Mus musculus: one gene and its partner. The protein of the gene in region 1 interacts with the protein of each later gene in a biochemical or structural test. Links are inferred from orthologs where the notes say so. Each region holds a gene or a part of one and is shown on either strand. Other genes may lie near its edges. The genes, in order: Slc9a1 and Tesc.

Region 1 (3,801 bases):
GAATAGGTTTTGGGCCTGCCTGAGCCTCCCTCTACCAAGGGCATAGGTTCTTGACCTGCATCCCAGTAGAGATTGTGCCCACCATGTGCAGGCTGTGGCCCATTCCAGGGCCTCCAGCTCCACAGCATGTGAGCCTGGCTGCCCATTGTAACCAGGCAGCTTGTTTAAATGGAGATTTCTCGGTCCTACTTGGTGGATCCCAGGTCACATATGACCTGGCCCCAGTTACTTTCAGAGATTGACTGGTCCTGTCCTGGTTTACTGTCTAAACTTGTGCTGAAGGAGAGTACCACAGGGAGTCCCAATCATGCTGAGTGCTTTACTTAGTTCTTATGACAGCCCTGTGATGTGAGCACCCCAATTGTCCCCCACCTTGTGGAAAACTGAAGCACGGGAAAATGAGGCCATGTGTGCAAAGGATTGTAGCTTTAAGAGTGTATGTTGATTACCAGCAGGGGGTGCTGCAGGCCCCCAGTGTGCTCCTCTAGCACGTGCCGCTCCGTAAGCCCCAGGCTAGGTTCTACACACTTAGCACTTAGCTGCCTTGAGGTCTGAATCCATGGTTGTGAATTGTGGAAGGACAGTGTCAGGGAGCCATGGGGCCAGGGCCCTGCCCTCCTGCCTACCAGCCTGTGTGCTCTCCCCAGGTCCTCTATCACCTCTTTGAGGAATTTGCCAGCTATGACTCTGTGGGCATCTCGGACATCTTCCTCGGCTTCCTGAGCTTCTTCGTGGTGGCCCTCGGTGGGGTGTTTGTGGGCGTGGTCTACGGGGTAATCGCAGCTTTCACCTCCCGATTTACCTCTCACATCCGGGTCATCGAGCCGCTCTTCGTCTTCCTCTACAGCTACATGGCTTACCTGTCAGCTGAGCTCTTCCACCTGTCCGGAATCATGGCGTGAGTCGGAGTGGCAGGTGACGGGCTTGGTGGGGTAGTTACTTACCATGGAGTCTCCGGATCTCTGTGGTCACGAAGGAGCGCCCCAGCACCTGAGGCTCCAGGCTTGCATGGTAGACGCTGACGTGGCCCAGGTCATTAGAGGCCTTCCATAAGAAGCCACTTCCATTGGACTCCTGGGATTCAGGAATCTGAACATTATGGGCAGAATCTACTACTACCCTAGGAAACTGAGCTGGAAGTCTTAGGTCTCAGTCCTACTTCCTCCCATTTTCTTAAAGATGGAAGCCGACAAGGCTCCCCAGAAGGGCTCACCAGGCATCTTCCACGCCTGAATCTCAGAGGCCCCTGAGAAGAGTCAGTGAGGCACAAGGAAAGTAGAAGTGTGCAGGCCAACCTAGACCGGGGACTCTGGGAAGCGGGGAAGGAGCCAGCACAGCTCCCTAGAGGAACCCTGTGTGTTGGGAACTTTATACTGGGAAGGGGTGAACCCAAAAGACCACAGAGTGTGGCCCTGGCTGTCGGGGCAGACGCAGTGTGCACAGTGGAGGTGACTTAATTCTTCTAAAACTCCCGTGTCTCGTCTGAATTTGCTGGCCCTGTGTACTTGGTGTGAGGATCAAGGGAAAACCATGGGCGTTTGGCCCTCACAGTTGTCCAGTGAGCTAGTGCTTGCTCAGCCTGGACTGTCAGCCTGTAACCTTGCACCCCGTTCTTCTTCACCCCAAGCCTCATCGCCTCAGGAGTAGTGATGCGCCCCTATGTGGAGGCCAACATCTCCCACAAATCCCACACCACCATCAAGTACTTCCTGAAGATGTGGAGCAGCGTCAGTGAGACCCTCATCTTCATCTTCCTCGGCGTCTCCACTGTGGCCGGCTCCCACCAGTGGAACTGGACCTTCGTCATCAGCACCCTGCTCTTCTGCCTCATCGCCCGGGTGCTGGGTAAGGGCCAGGCCCAGGCCAGGGAGGGGAGAGAGAGAGAGAGAGGGAGAGAGAGAGAGAGAGAGAGAGAGAGAGAGAGAGAGAGAGAGAGAGAGAGAGAGAAACAGTATACACGTGACTGTAGGGAGAGGAGCTGGGCTATGGAGTAGCTATGTGTAATATAGTGTGGGGCTAGGTTGTGGGTTTGTAAGTGTGTTGATGTTTCTAAGAGCTGCACTGTGTCTGTGTGTAGTACTGTTTGTGTCTACGTAGTAATGTGTCTAAGAGCTGGGCTGTATTGTATGGTATCATATCATATGTAGAGAGGATAGGCTGAGTGCCCACTACGGTGTATTGAGGGGCTGGCCTGTGGGGTCTCTATAGTACAGTGTGTGGAGGAACTAAGTGCGGGTGTCTAGTACAGTGTGTCGGGGTGTCTGTAGTATAGCATATGGAGGGGCTGGTGAGATATGTAGAGTGCAGTATGTCCCTGTCCCTGTCCCTTCTGAATGGCTCTGGGTGCTCCCATTGCTTCTCTGCAACGCTGACACCATTTGAGAGCATTAGGGAGAAGCCGCATGCCTGCCTCCTGCTCACGTGGAGGCTCCGCAGACACTGTCGCAGAAAGTTATGGTGAAGGGCCTCTAGACTCTCCAAAAGCCTGGTGGCTCTCAGGTCCTCAACCCAGCCTGGAACCCTGAGCCAAGTGTTCTGTTGTCATGGCGCACGTGTCCAAAGCTACCAGGCTAGTGTCACCCATGGAATCGGGTCTGTGGGCTCTGCCCTTGTGCTAGATTCTCCTGGCCTCCATGGCCAGGCCGCTGCTGCATTCTCTATCTTACTCCCTTTTCCGCACACGTGCACTTAGGAGCCAGAGGTCCACCGTATGTTCCCCCATCCACAGTTTTTAAGGTTTGTTTGTTTGTTTGTTTAGGGTTGTTAGTTGTTTGTGACGGGATCTTACTATACAGATCAGGCTGGCCTAGAACTCTTGGTGATTCTTTTGCCTCAGCCTCCCAAGTGCTGGGATCTCAGCTGTGAACTGCCCAGATCCAGGGCAAGCACTCTCTGCATCCCTCCTCACAGCCTACACTTCGAAACAGTGGTTCACTATGAACAATTCCCAGTCTCTAGAAAAGTAGAGACAATAGGGTAATTATTTCCCACCTGTTTTAATAAGTTCAAACTCAGTACCAGGATTGTTTCCTCCAGTCCCTTGACCTGTACCCCGTGAAGGCCTCTGGGATATTCAGAACAAATGCAGGTTGAGGAACCCTTTAAAGACCTACCAAGGTTTTGGATGAGTGAGCTGGAGTTCCTGGGCTGCGGGACCCAGGAACCGAGTGAGCTGGTTGGACGGTTGGACGTAGTGGGAGGAGCTTCCTGGACCGCCTGACCTCTCCTCCGCCTGCTCCCTGGCAGGTGTCCTGGTCCTGACCTGGTTCATCAACAAGTTCCGCATTGTCAAGCTGACCCCCAAGGACCAGTTCATCATTGCCTATGGGGGCCTGCGAGGGGCCATCGCCTTCTCGCTGGGCTACCTCCTGGACAAGAAGCACTTCCCCATGTGTGACCTGTTCCTCACCGCCATCATCACCGTCATCTTTTTCACCGTCTTTGTGCAGGTGCTGGGCCTGGGGTGGGCAGACCCCTGCCTGGGGGCCCCGACTTTTGTGGTAGAAAAAAAAAAGGCTGTGGGCATGCTGTCACTAGCTTGCCGCATGACTTTGGGCAAGCCGTCCCCCTTTGAGGCCTCAGTTCTCAGCTGTGACAATGAGAAGTCAATCAGTATATGAAGTGACGAATGTTGCCCAACTTGAGTAAGAGCCACTGGAGTGACGTGGGTAGCAGCCGGCAGGCCCAAGATCTACTGCCCCATCATGGTAGGGCTGAGTGGCATCATGGTTTAGCATCTGCAGCAGTTCAGCATAGGCGGCCGGACAGTCTCCTGAGTCAGGAAGGCCTGGACTCAGCCTA
Region 2 (4,588 bases), on another chromosome or scaffold:
TTTGATGACGCCAACAGAGCCATTGGTAAGACTGAATGAAAGCGGTGGCGTCCTGGACCAGCCGCATTAGGCTTTGTGTGGACAGAGCCCTGCTGGGTGCTCACATCACTCACTGCCAGAGGGGGAGGGTGGGTGCCTCCACCGCAGCACCCACGCAGCTTCGCGGAGCCCGCTGTTCTGTGGGGCCACGGGTGGGGACAATTACGGACTCTGAAGCTCAGTGTGGACATTGAGATCTCTGCGCTCCTGAGAGCTCACCCTGGCTGTTACTCCCACTCCATCTGCAGCGAAGGTGGTGTCTTATCCCTGTTTGCAGCTCAAAGATCTAGTCGGGACCTTGCACATAGTAGACCATTAAGAAACACGCATTAAATGAGTGAACAAATACACAAGTCAAATTGTCGCCCCCTTTCCTGAGGACTCCTCGCAGCCCCCCGGGGGGAGGGGCGGGCTCTCCTTGGCAACCACACCCCAGCCTGGTGAAAATAGACACTTGATAAGGCCTCTCCGAGGAGGCCTACACAGAGATCCCAGAGGAAGAGGGGGGCTCGGTAGAAGGATCGAGCACCAAGGGAAGGCACTGTCAGCTTGGAGTGCGGGTGTGTCTGGGGTTGCTGGCGATGGGGGAGGGGGTCTTCCCCGGCCTGGAGAATGCAGATCCTCTGTAGACAGAAAACTTAGTTGCAGGAAGACATAGATCATGGCATATTTTAGAAACCCCAACATCCCGGGACCTGGGGAGCCCTTTCCTGCCCTCCACCCCACAGAGATCTGTCTGGGTTTTTAGAATTCTTGGAGACCTGAGGCGGTCCAGCCTACTCAGCAGCGATGCCCCACAGCTAAGCTTCCCTTGCTTCTCGGGTGGGAGCAGTTTCCGTGAACTCTGGGCAGCTGCAGGGAGGACGGGGGATCTTCAGGGAGGATCTCCAGGGGCAGACTCAGCTCCCCGGAGGCTCAGAGTGGGTGATAATCGGGGTTTCAGTGGTGGGGCCGGTTCTTCTGGCTCTGCCGAGACCCCTGGGTTGGCTAGAGTGGGCTCCTGAGAACGCCAGTTCCAAGGATGCGCACCCACGGCCGTGACTGGCGAGGTGAAAGATCGTGGGGATCCCAGCACTTCCAGCCAGAACAGACTCTTGGCAGCTAAACCGGACGTCACTAAGCAGAGCAGGGCATGGCGGGCTCCCAGGGCAGCCTTGAGGTTGAATGTTTCCCTCCCGGAGCACCAGCCCCTTCCTCATCAATTGAACAGGATTCCATGGTAACCCGGCGCCTTTCTCCCTCTGCGCCCTACGGTGAGCATCTCACCGCAACCCTATTTGGAGATGGAGAGATGGTGGTTAGACCAGCAGCAGGACTGGCCAGTCAGGACCTCCTATCTCATCAGGATCCCCGGGACTCATCGGTCTCACCTTCTCTACTCAGTCCACGCCTGTCACCTGCGATGCGCGCTCCTCTGGGCGCCCACCTAGGTGCAGGGCGCGGGGGAGGGGATCTTTCACACTGGGCACACTCGCGTGCCCTCCTCTGTCCCAGCGCCGAGGCTCCGCCGCTGGACCCCGCAGAGTGGGCGGAGGGATGCGGGTCGCGCTGCCCGCAAGCTCATCCCGCGGGGCTGCGGCAGGGGCAGAACCACGTCGTGTCCTCCCCCCACCCCCATTCCCGCCCCCGCGGCCGCGAGGGAAGCGGGCGAGCGCTAGGACCGCGCCGCTCCGCCTCCCGCCGCTATAAGAGGCCGCTCGAGCCCCACGCGGAACCGGCTCCGCGCCGCTGTCCCCGCGTCCCCACCCGGCTCCAACGCAGCGCAGCCCAGGCAGTCCCCGGCCTGCGTGGGGCGCCCGGGGCCCCGCGGCGCACCATGGGCGCTGCCCACTCGGCGTCCGAGGAGGTGCGGGAGCTCGAGGGCAAGACCGGCTGTGAGTACCACACCGTGGCCGGGAACCCTCGTTGGCGGGGACCATCGCCTGCATGCCCCCGCTTCGCGCCACCGTGCTGTGTGACCTTGGGCTAGTGGCTTGCCCTCTCTGTGCCCCGTTCTCGGGCTGCTTCTGATGGGTTCCCGCCAGCCGCCGTGCGGGCGACGCCGCTGGGAGGGGTTGGCAGCGACTCGGGCCTGGGGTAAGGGTGGCCCGAGAGGCGACTTGACCCAAGCCTCACCCGACCAGGGCGGAGCCCGGCAGGTAGCCGTGGCTTTGAGGGCCGGCGCCCCGGCAGCTCGGGAGAGCGCCGAGCGCGCGCTGCACCTGCAAGTCTGCGGCTGGGGAGCGGGGAGGAAAGTTTGGAAGTGGCGGGACCGGGAGGAGCCGCGCGGTCCGCGGTGACCTTAGGCGGGGGTCACCCTGCCGCCTCCCCGTGCGTCCCCACCCCCCGGCTGCAGGCTCGGGCACCGAGCCCAGCGTCCTCCAGGCTGGCCCGCACTCCCGGGACCGCAGAGGCCGGGCGGGGCGCGCCTGGGGGAAGCGCCCGTCCGCCCCGCGCTTGACCCTGGGCTCAGAAGCGACCAGGGGACCCGGACTTGCACGAGGGTGGGCAGGCGCGTGGACTCAACCTGTTTCGGTGGTGGGACAGAGCGGGTTGTGAGTTCTGCCAGGACTGTGTGACCTTGGACCAGTCAGTTCCCGTCTCAGTTTGCCTCCTCTGAGGAATGGGAGACTGGCGCACCCCCAGGGTTCCTGCGGCAGGAGGTTGCGGCTGAGTTGAGAGCACCCAGTCAGCCCCCCTCACCCCCCCAGAGGGGGACTGGGCTGGCACTCGCCTCCCCAGAGCCCGGTGAAGTCATAGAAAGTCCCCAGCTGCTGAGCGTCTACACCGCGCACACAGTATGCGAAGTGTGCAGCGGATCCGCGAGAGTCGTTTACACGACCCACTAAGGGCGCGCGCCATCGAGCCAGTCCCGGTGAGGGTCGACTGTGAGTGCGCTGCCTGGAGTGTGCGCACGGCGTGCAAGGGGAACCGCGTGCGAGCGGGAGTGTGGGCGCACTGTGTGCAAACCGGGAGTGTGTGCACGCACTGTGTGAAAGTCGAGAGTGTATGCACACTGTGTGTGAGACAAGCAGGTGTGTGTGCACAGTGTGTGAAAGTCTAGAGTGTGCGGGCACTTTGTGAAAACCAGGAGTGTATACACACTGTGTGCGAGGCAAGCAGGTATGTTTGCACACCGTATTGAAGGCAAACTGAAGTGTGTGCACTTCAATCAAACTGAAGCGTGGTTGTGTGTGCACACTGTGGGCACTGCAGTTTGAAGCACGGTTTCACTTTGGGGCTCGGGCTGCTCTGATCGGGGACACTCCCTGCCTCAGTCTCCCCAGTTCTGGGACTGCAGGGCAGCACCCTCCCCCACTTTTGTATTTTCTCTCTGAATTCATTTTGCTGACTACAAACCAAAAGTTTCATAAACCTGCCCCCGCCCGCCTCCTCCCAGGCCCACGTGATGGAGGACAGCAGGAGTCCCCGCCCACTTTGACTCGGTTTGACCCATTGCCAGTTGCTGTCCCAGATGGTGTGGGGAGAGCTGGGATTCCGGGTGCAGGTTGGGTCCCCACCGGAGCAGCACCCAGGGCCTTCTGGGGAAATTCCTGCGGGCTGTGGGTTTGACAGTGACGGGCTGCAGAGCATGCTGGGAGCCTTGTCAGTTTCCTGGGCCCAGCCTCCCACGGTGACAGATGCTCAGGCTCAGTGGCTGCCTGGAGGTGGCTGGGGTGGCTTCTTCACTTGCTGCCTGTGCTCAGAATTCAATTCTAAAGGGAGCTGGGCGGGGGGGGGGGGGGGGGGAACGACGGGACCCAAGGTTATGCCACCCCCACCCCTGGGGTCCCACAGGCCCTGAAGGTGCTGGTCTAGTCTGGGCACTTACACCCGTTTGGCAGATCCTTAGAGTTTTTGAGGATTTTAGAGGATGTGGAGGTGACCCAGAGAGGCCAACATTCCCACACAGGATGCACAGGACACAGATCCACCCCACCAGTCTTAGGTTTCCAGGAACAAGCAACAGGGGGAGAGGATGGGAAGAGGTAAGCAGGTAACTAAGGAGCCAGTCATGTGACAGTGACCAGAACATCGGAGTGGCAGGTGCCATGGCCCTGTGGCAGGAGGCAGTTGATCACCTCAGTGAGGTTGGCCGATGGATGACATAGCAGTCCTCCAGGCTCAGGCTGCACTGCAGCCCCAACTTCAGGGGTCCCCTGTGCTCCCCGTGCCTCAGTTTTCCCTCCTGTCAGATGGACATAGCAATAGAACTACATTGAACTAGGTCTTGGTCCCTGTATCCCTGCTGTGTGTGTGACCTTCAGTAGGTCACTGCCTCTCTGGACCTCAGTGCTCCACCTGGGTGTCGCCGCCTCTGAACAATTGTGTGGAGGAGATATTAGCCAGGAAGGCTCCGGACGTGGCGTGGGGTTGGACAGGGCTGTGGTATGAGAACTTATACATGTCCAGGGGAACACCACTGCACTTGGGCTTGCCTATACCAACACTGAGAACTTCACACAATACACAGTAGGTGTGTCTTCACCCACATCTTCCAGAAAGGAGATAAGGCTGTTTCCTCTCCTGAGGGAAACTGAGGCTCGGAAAGAGACAGCATCTTGCCTTC

The links.
Region 2: the proteins of Slc9a1 (region 1) and Tesc form a complex in vitro, tested with the Homo sapiens proteins (4 studies listed by BioGRID and IntAct, with this or other methods). The link is inferred for Mus musculus from reciprocal best matches to the Homo sapiens genes SLC9A1 and TESC.

Annotation. Positions count from the first base shown.
Region 1 is NC_000070.6:133,414,654-133,418,454, forward strand, and holds part of Slc9a1 (sodium/hydrogen exchanger 1), read left to right. Parts: intron 1-647; coding exon 648-898; intron 899-1,627; coding exon 1,628-1,845; intron 1,846-3,246; coding exon 3,247-3,449; intron 3,450-3,801. UniProt on the Homo sapiens protein: Electroneutral Na(+) /H(+) antiporter that extrudes Na(+) in exchange for external protons driven by the inward sodium ion chemical gradient, protecting cells from acidification that occurs from metabolism.
Region 2 is NC_000071.6:118,026,075-118,030,662, forward strand, and holds the start of Tesc (calcineurin B homologous protein 3), read left to right. Parts: upstream 1-1,668; 5' UTR 1,669-1,855; coding exon 1,856-1,913; intron 1,914-4,588. UniProt on the Homo sapiens protein: Functions as an integral cofactor in cell pH regulation by controlling plasma membrane-type Na(+)/H(+) exchange activity. Promotes the maturation, transport, cell surface stability and exchange activity of SLC9A1/NHE1 at the plasma membrane.